2 linked regions of the Bombyx mori genome follow. The protein of the gene in region 1 purifies or fractionates together with the protein of each later gene. This does not show direct contact. Links are inferred from orthologs where the notes say so. Each region holds a gene or a part of one and is shown on either strand. Other genes may lie near its edges.

Region 1 (3,827 bases):
CTCCACGGCGGTGGTCTGCTGCAGGTGCGACGTGATCATAAACATATTCGAGGACGCGGCGCGCGTGTCGGTGTGCGAGCAGGCGTGCGCGGCGTGCGGCGCGCAGCTGGTGGCGGTGGAGTACCGGCCCGAGCGCACCCGCCTGCCTGCCGCGCTCACCGAGATGACGGCCTGCCTCTACTGCGAGCCCATCTTCAGCGCCCTGGTCAGTGCAAGCCGAAATAACATTATTTGTGACGTCATTTCAGGCCAAAATGAACGACGAGCTAACATCTCATATACTAACATATCCCTATCCCTACTACACCTACCCCTACATTGTAAATGTCTTAATGCACAAATTATTACCATTTTACAAAAATTATGTTTTAGTTTCTATTAAAATCCCTTACGATGTATAATTAAAATCAGCGCATGTAAACTATACCATCCGGCTATTTGCCACGTACCACCCGGCTATGGAATGAGCTCCCCTCCTCGGTGTTTCCCGAGCGCTATGACATGTCCTCTTCAAACAAGACTTGTGGAGAGTATTAAGCAGTAGGCAGCGGCTTGGCTCTGCTCCTGGCATTGCTGAAGTCCATGGGCGACGGTAACCACTTAACATCAGGTGGGCCGTACGCTCGTCTGCCTATAAAGGCAATAACAAAAAAAAAACTTGTCGCAGGTTGAGAAGCACCGTGCGGTGACGTCACGCGCGGGCGGCGGGGCGGCGCGGGGCGCGGGGCGGGGCGGGCGGCCGCGGGTGCACAAGCACCGGGCCAAGCAGCCCAAGGACAAGATGGCGCTCCTGGCCGCGTACTTTGTATGACCAGCCGCCCTCACCCTCCTCCCCCCGGGAACGTGAGCCGCGCGTCGCGTGACAAAACGTCGCAACTCCAATACGAACGAGTTGCTAAAATCGATTTTATTGCTAGCACTTGACATGTGTTTTACGTGTGTACTCTTTGCTCTACTACCGACTAATCTTTAGAGAAACATTAGAAACGTAATCTTGTTCGATTATAATTTTTGATTTGGGATGGCTCTGGTCATGGACATACAATATTATGCATTTAAGATGTCGATAAGTATGCTATTTGATTCGTGTTAAAATCGTCTTTATGTTCATGGTAATAGCTTCGATGAAATAGCGTTTTAATGTTTTTATTTAAATAAATTAATAATAATCGGGAGCGAATCACACATGGTCATCCAGCCCCTAATTTAGGATTTCCTATATTACGGGTACCAGAGATTGACATACATACTTATACAAGTTTTTTTAAATAAGTACATATATAGATAATAAACAGGCGAAGAGCAAACAAAGCTGTTCATCACACGAATGTTTGCTCAATGTGGGAATCGAACCCACGACCCTCGGCGCAACAGCCAGGAGCGCTAACTACTGCACCACCGAGTCAGTCAAACTATTACATTATATTAATTATGTAAAGTATTTACTTCAGTGTTTGCGACATAACTAAAGCTACATGAATGGTTTAACCTATCGTCTATTATTGTCATTATATTATTTGCGGCGCCTCGAATGCTGTGCAGTTCTCATGGTCACACTGACGACTAAGCCGTAAGATTATTTATTAACATTGGATTATTACGCTAAGTAACTAATATACTATTAAAAAATATATAGATTTTTACCTTTACGGAATGTTTACAAAGCTCGAAAGAGTCTAGAGTCTAGAGAATACACTAGGACGCTAAAACCCGCAAAACCGAACCGCAAATGTAGTTTTTAATCATAGTAAATAAAGTTTACATTTCCTATGTCGTGTTTGTAATTACGGTATATGTATATATAAAAATGAATTGCTGTTCGTTAGTCTCGCTAAAACTCGAGAACGGCTGGACCGATTGGGCTAATTTTGGTCTTGAATTATCTGCGGAAGTCCAGAGAAGGTTCAAAAGGTAGATAAATTTGAAAATGCTCGGAATTACATAAAAATAATGATTTTGTTTTTGCTTTGATGTGTGTGTCCCCCGTCGTACGGATTCCTTTTGTTTGTTTTAAGTTTATTTTATACAAAAGTTTAGGTCTTTTATTTCTCGATTGAGGCACTACGAAGCCTGCCGGGTCAGCTAGTTACGATATAATTATTATTGAAAGGCACTACACGTATTGTGTATATGTGTGTATATTGCTCACGCCCCTTGCAGTTCCAAAGTGGGGCGAACTGGCGAAGAAACTTTTTTTTTTAATCTACCTAAGCTGATAGCCTTGAGAGGCTATGTCAGCGTAACTGGGTGAGTAGATGAGCTCACGGGGCTCAAACCGGGAGTGTTGCTAACACAGGCCCTAGCAAGAGCCGTGATTCGCAGAATCTACCACCGGATCGGAAAGGCGACCCACTGAGAAGATCCGGCGAGAAACTCAGTGGGCTGTGTCTGTGGGTTAATTCACTCGTCGAGCCCTTCGTCGCAAGCCAGGAGTTCGGTGAGGACGGTGACCGGTGTTTGAGGTACCTAAAAGCACCGTTAATGGATCGGGAGAAACCTTAGAGATCTGTGTCATTAAGGGATTTTCAATTGAGTTTTAAAATCATACTCTGTGTGCTTAGTGCGAGTTTTTTAACGTTCTCGATAACGTAAAAGTTATGATTTAGAATGGGATCGTTTGCCTACGTTTGCCGCTAGGGGCGCTGTTTCAAATGCACACAAAATTGGGTTAACTTTTACGCTATCGAGAACGTTAAAAAACTCGCACTAAGCACTCTGTTGAATGTCTGTAGCATACATACGTAGTTGTACTGTAGTGTTCATGTATAACATATGCTGATTAAATCATGTCTCTTTCTAATCTATTAAATTTTGTATGGTTTGATAATGTTGTATTATAGAAATAGAGCTTGTTTTATTTGTGAATATGATATCGTCGCTTACGTAGAGCAAGACTTACAAGTTAACGCTTACAAGTTAATCTATTAATAAGTCTATAGTTTGTATGTTTCTTGATATAAGAACAATTCGAATCAACCATTATTATGCTTTTGAAGTGATAATTTCGGTAAACCGGTACGTTACGTAACGCGTTACGGCGTTAGTCTGTCTAGCTTCTCTCTCTCTCTCTCTCTCTCTCTCTCTCTCTCTCTCTCTCTCACTCACGCATACGGCATCGGTACAGAGGACGTATGTAACTCGTAACTATTTACATATCGACGCTTGAAAAACAAACGTAACTAAGCGACAATGCGTGAACTTTACAGTAGACTAATTTAAATTTGAAATACCTGAAAACAAAATTTATTTTAACGAATCTAGCTGTAGTAGAATCTAGCTAGTAGCTGTAGGATTGAAATGATATTAATAGACCTAGAAATATATTTTTTCTGCGCATCGAATATGGTTATTGCCCATCATTTATGTACAAAGCAGTTATTGTCGCTTAGTCACGTTTGCCTTTCAAGCGTCGATTATTTTTCAATTCATGTTACAATTTTCCTTACATTATCATATTAAGATACATAAAATTTAAGTAATAACCTAAGATTTTCTCAAGTTAAATAGTTCAACTTAGATTAGCTTAAGCTATCACTTGTGTCGGGCGTCCCGAGACGCATATTTGGTTATATTTGTATACGCGTGTGTAACATTTGTATTTATAATATATAAATGAATGTCATCAACTATGTAATGTTTTATTTGACCTCGTGTTTTGGTTGCTTAGGTGCTGCAACTCAGTCGGTTTAGTGTTCCATTGTACGGAGCTTCTAATTATCACTTCAGATTGGTTATGGTTGACAGTATTGTTTTAGCTTGAACGCTACTAAAGTTAGTGGTCATTTATGTGTCCTTAATAGCCCCAATGCATTATGTGTCAATTGATA
Region 2 (4,381 bases), on another chromosome or scaffold:
GACGGCGCCAGAACAACCTTCACAGGTCATTTCTACGTTGAATATGTGTGTCTAGAAATAAAATATTAATTGTAAACATATAATAAAAATAAATAGAATTCTTCAAAGCTACATAAATATATTTGAGTCATTTTTTACCGTAGTCATTTTACTGTAACTGTACACGTATACTATATGAAATAATGAATACGACGGCTTTGACGAACACTCAATAAGTGATTGAACTTTTTAGGATCTTATCATTTATCAAATATTGATAAAATTAATTGAGGATAATGTTCTGGCGGTATATTTCTGTAGTCTCTCGCGGACGTCTATAGCAATACACTTAGCACAGAATCAGAAACTGATAAAACCCTGATAACTAGTTCGAATTCGAAAGTAGACTTGTGTAAATAGGCTATGTTAGCTATTCTGCTTTGTATTCAATTATTAAAAACACAATGTTAGAAAGAGACGGACGGAGATAATGGACGGGACTGTCATAAGTGTCATACAAACTTTTCTCCAGACTGCATTGAGATGGGCGGAGGGCCTTACAATCTCATACTATGCCGCCTCTTAAATTTATCTTTGGATTTTTGTTGCTAATTTTACTAGTTTCAATTAAATTAACGTCCGTGTTAGTTGAATTTTGATTTCACTTGCTTTTTATACTTGCATTCTCTAATATTATCTTCTTTCTTTCTGGTCGTTCCCTCAATGCTGAGAATCGTGACTGTATGTCAATCTTCTCCACTCGGTCCGGTTCTGCGCCATATGTACCGCTCCCCGTATCTGGCCTCCAGTCACCTCCTTGAGTTGGTCCACCCATCTAGCTGGCGCTCTTCCTCTAGCGCCTATTATTGTACTTCCGTCGAACCCGTCGCTTGCGACGAAGGGCTCGACGAGTAAATTAACCCTCAGACACAGCCCACTGAGTTTCTCGCCGGATCTTCTCACTGGGTCGCGTTTCCGATCCGGTGGTAGATTCTGCGAAGCACGGCTCTTGCTAGGGTTCGTGTTAGCAACGTCATCAGGTTTGAGCCCCGTGAGCTCACCTACTAGTTAAGGCTAAGCTGATATAGCTTCTCAAGGCTCTTAGCTTAGGTAGGAAAAAAATCGCCACTGTCTTTATATTTTATTATCAATACTAAAATCAAAATAATGACAGTAAATTAACCCATATATACACAGCTCGCTGAGTTTCTCGCCACATCTGTGGGTCGGTTTTCCGATCCGGTGGTAGATTCTGCTTTTTTGTTTTTTTTTCCTACCTATGCTGATGGTTTTGAGAGACCATATCAGCGTCACTGTGCGAGGAAGCACTGCTCCTTTTAGGGCCATGTTAGCAGTACTTTCAGTTTGAGCTCCGTGAGCTCACCTACACGTTAAGGCGAAGCTGAAATAGCCTCTCAAGGCTATTAGCTTAAGTAGGAAAATAAAAAGCATTTTGTAAATACTAGCTTTTAGCGCCATCTTTACCAGATTTTGTGGGCTACTGATTAAGAGATGCCCACTATCAACCTTGATTAGTCTGTGCTTACCTTGTTTTAAGTGTATAATCTATGCCTTGTACTGTCATGGTGCCGTATGTCCGTGGGCCTTATTATTTTCAATTCATTCTCGCAGAATAATGTTAATTTGACCTTAAATCAAAACATGTCATTACGGGAAACTCTTAAGGAACTGGGCTGGTAAATTAATTAGCGCTTTAAATTTATTGATGTTATTTGCCACCGTGCTTTTAGATCTAAAGTAAGGGTTTGGTTTTTCCAGGCATTTGACCGAAGAAGGCATCGATACGATAACCGAAAATGGTCAAATTCAAGATGTAAACATTCTTAGCAAAAAAGCTTTAGACGTAAGTATTAAATCTAATTGGATTCGCAACCCAATTTCAATAATAACCAACTAAACATACATGACAATTTTCAAATTTGTAGTACGATTTGAGAGACATCAGCGAAGGATCGTTACCTGAAGACTTTGTCAAGGATCCGTCTAAATTAGAAAGCCCCGTTGTTGTTCAAATTCAGAAGATTAGGAATGTGTCAGCTCCTAAAGCTAATGAAGAATCAACATCTGCCCCACGGATGTTGAAGCTAACCCTGCATGACGGGAAAGTAACGTGTACAGGTCTAGAGATAAGTCATATACCCAGTCTAAGTATAAACACCCCACCTGGAACTAAGTTGTTGCTGAAGAATGAAGAGCTAGAAGTTTGTCACGGAGTGGTATGGCTCACCCCATCAGTGATATCTGTATTGGGCGGAACAGTATCTCATATGATTGAAAAATGGGAACTGAACAGAAGTCTTGCCAAACACACAAGAGGTAAGCAAAACAATAAAATAAACTTTTATTTAATCAATTTTATTCAGCAATTAAATAATCTAAATGTTATGTTTTTGCAATTAATATTATTCCTAAAGTGCCAGTACATCTCACTCTTGCTAGAACTTGCTTACCACTAGCAGGACATGAAATAATGCGAAATAGAATCCTGTCAGAACTTGTTTCTAGTTAATTTACTTAATCAATATGAAACTAAGACTCTGGCCGATAGATAGCGGTGCCATATTGTGGTTCTTGAAAAAATAAACTTTACTAAAACAAATATATTTATTAATCTTTTGACTGCCCTAAGTCAGAATATTGTTTTTTGTCTTATGTTCATGTTGAGAATAGAGTTTTTTTTAATTTAATTTTGAAACAGGAACATGTTGTATTATAGTAGGTAATTGTCAGATATTTATCATAAAAAGTAGTTTTGTCCTTATAGAAAAATGAATTTCAGTTTCGCCTTTCCATTAGTATAACAGACACTAATAAGTTTCAGACGAAATATAGTGCAGTAGAATATCTGTAGAACTCTTGATTTAGATAATATATTGCTCATTAACATTTGTTCACCTGTTGCTGGCTTATAATCATGGATGTGTTAGAGTTACTACTAGCTAAGGACCATAACCCAATACTTATACATAACAAATATTAAATACAGTCCTCTGTCAGTGTGAATGTAGATGGGTTAGCTGCTCAGGTTCTACTTGTCTGCATAGCAGTGTGGCACTGTGTTTGCACAATTTGCATGATGTGGCTGACTGGCTTCTGTTTTTACTACTTAAATGGGTGGACAAGCTCAGAGCCCACCTAGTAATGAGTGGTTACTTGAGCCCATAGACATAAACAAAACAAATCTGTCACCCAGCTTGAGACATGTGTTCTAAAGTCTCAGTTTTTACAATGTAATTTTTAAGGCTTCCCCACCCTTTAAACTGAAATGTGTTACTGCTTCCTGAAAGATAAAGGATAGTGTTTGTTGGATCCTTCCCTCCTCCTCCTTGCATTAAAAATCCTCAATGCTGGGGATCTTTCCCACTCTTAAACAAAGTGGGAACAATAAAATAATGTAACTAGTTCTGTTGAACCATTTGTTTATTGCGTACTACTAATAATGAAAAATAGAAAATTAATATTAAGAAACAGTTGCTTGTGCATGGTGACGTGACATCGTGCATCGCCTTGCCAGCAATTGGTTTATACGTGGCTTTCGATGTTTCATATCTCAAAATTACTTTAAACTGTTTAAAACTCTTTATAGAAGGTAACTTTAAAAAAACCTTGCAACTATGTTAATAAAAATTACTAATTTATAGACACAAATTTTTTTAGTTAAGTTGATGTTATTGCTTTGGTCCTCTGGCATCTATATAGAAATTGCATTTATTTTTAATTGTGTTAGAGATAGTGTTAGAGAGATAAAATGTTTATAAATTAAAAGCTGATACCCTCATAATATTAATTTCATTCTGATAAAAGGAGGCATAGGAGCTGAAGGAGGTCCTCCACCATGGATTCCATTTGGACAGAGATTAGAAGCTCTTTCTGTGGACAAACAGTTCAAGAGTCTACAAGAAGCTGCCAAACAGGACAATCCAGAGTTCGAGGCTCAAAGAAAAGGTGCTATTGCTGAGGCACAGAGGATGTCTGGTGTGAAAAAGGCATGTCCTTAATATTTATTGTTTTATATTGCCTTTGCAGGCATACAACATTTCACGAGCAGCCCACCTGATTATAAGTTGTTACCATCACTCATGGAATTGGCAAGATTAAGGGCAGAGCTAAAACACTACTTGCTGCAAAGATGATTAAGTAAAAATGTTTCTTTTTACAGGTTTTTGGTGGTGGAACTAAACCTTTACTGGACGCAAATGTTCAAAAGATTGTAGATGCAGGGTTTACAGAGGAACAAGCAGAAGCAACATTAAAATATACCAAGAACAATGTTGATAGAGCACTAAAGATATTGCAGAAAAGAGACAACTCTGAAAATAGGAATAAAGAGAAACCACAGAAGGAACAAGATCCAGTGAAGCGTAAAGGTCGCCACAAAGAG

What was found.
Region 2: the proteins of DNA topoisomerase 3-beta-1 (region 1) and tudor domain-containing protein 3 purify together in Drosophila melanogaster (affinity purification with western blotting; 3 studies listed by BioGRID, with this or other methods). This does not show direct contact. The link is inferred for Bombyx mori from reciprocal best matches to the Drosophila melanogaster genes Top3beta and Tdrd3.

The regions. Positions count from the first base shown.
Region 1 is NC_085120.1:2,608,405-2,612,231, forward strand, and holds part of DNA topoisomerase 3-beta-1, read left to right. Parts: intron 1-24; coding exon 25-205; intron 206-667; coding exon 668-811; 3' UTR 812-3,827. UniProt on the Drosophila melanogaster protein: Releases the supercoiling and torsional tension of DNA introduced during the DNA replication and transcription by transiently cleaving and rejoining one strand of the DNA duplex.
Region 2 is NC_085119.1:13,786,408-13,790,788, forward strand, and holds the start of tudor domain-containing protein 3, read left to right. Parts: upstream 1-1,363; 5' UTR 1,364-1,572; coding exon 1,573-1,676; intron 1,677-1,758; coding exon 1,759-1,843; intron 1,844-1,925; coding exon 1,926-2,316; intron 2,317-3,804; coding exon 3,805-3,986; intron 3,987-4,159; coding exon 4,160-4,381. Other genes in the region: copper chaperone, read right to left, coding at 1-51, 139-147.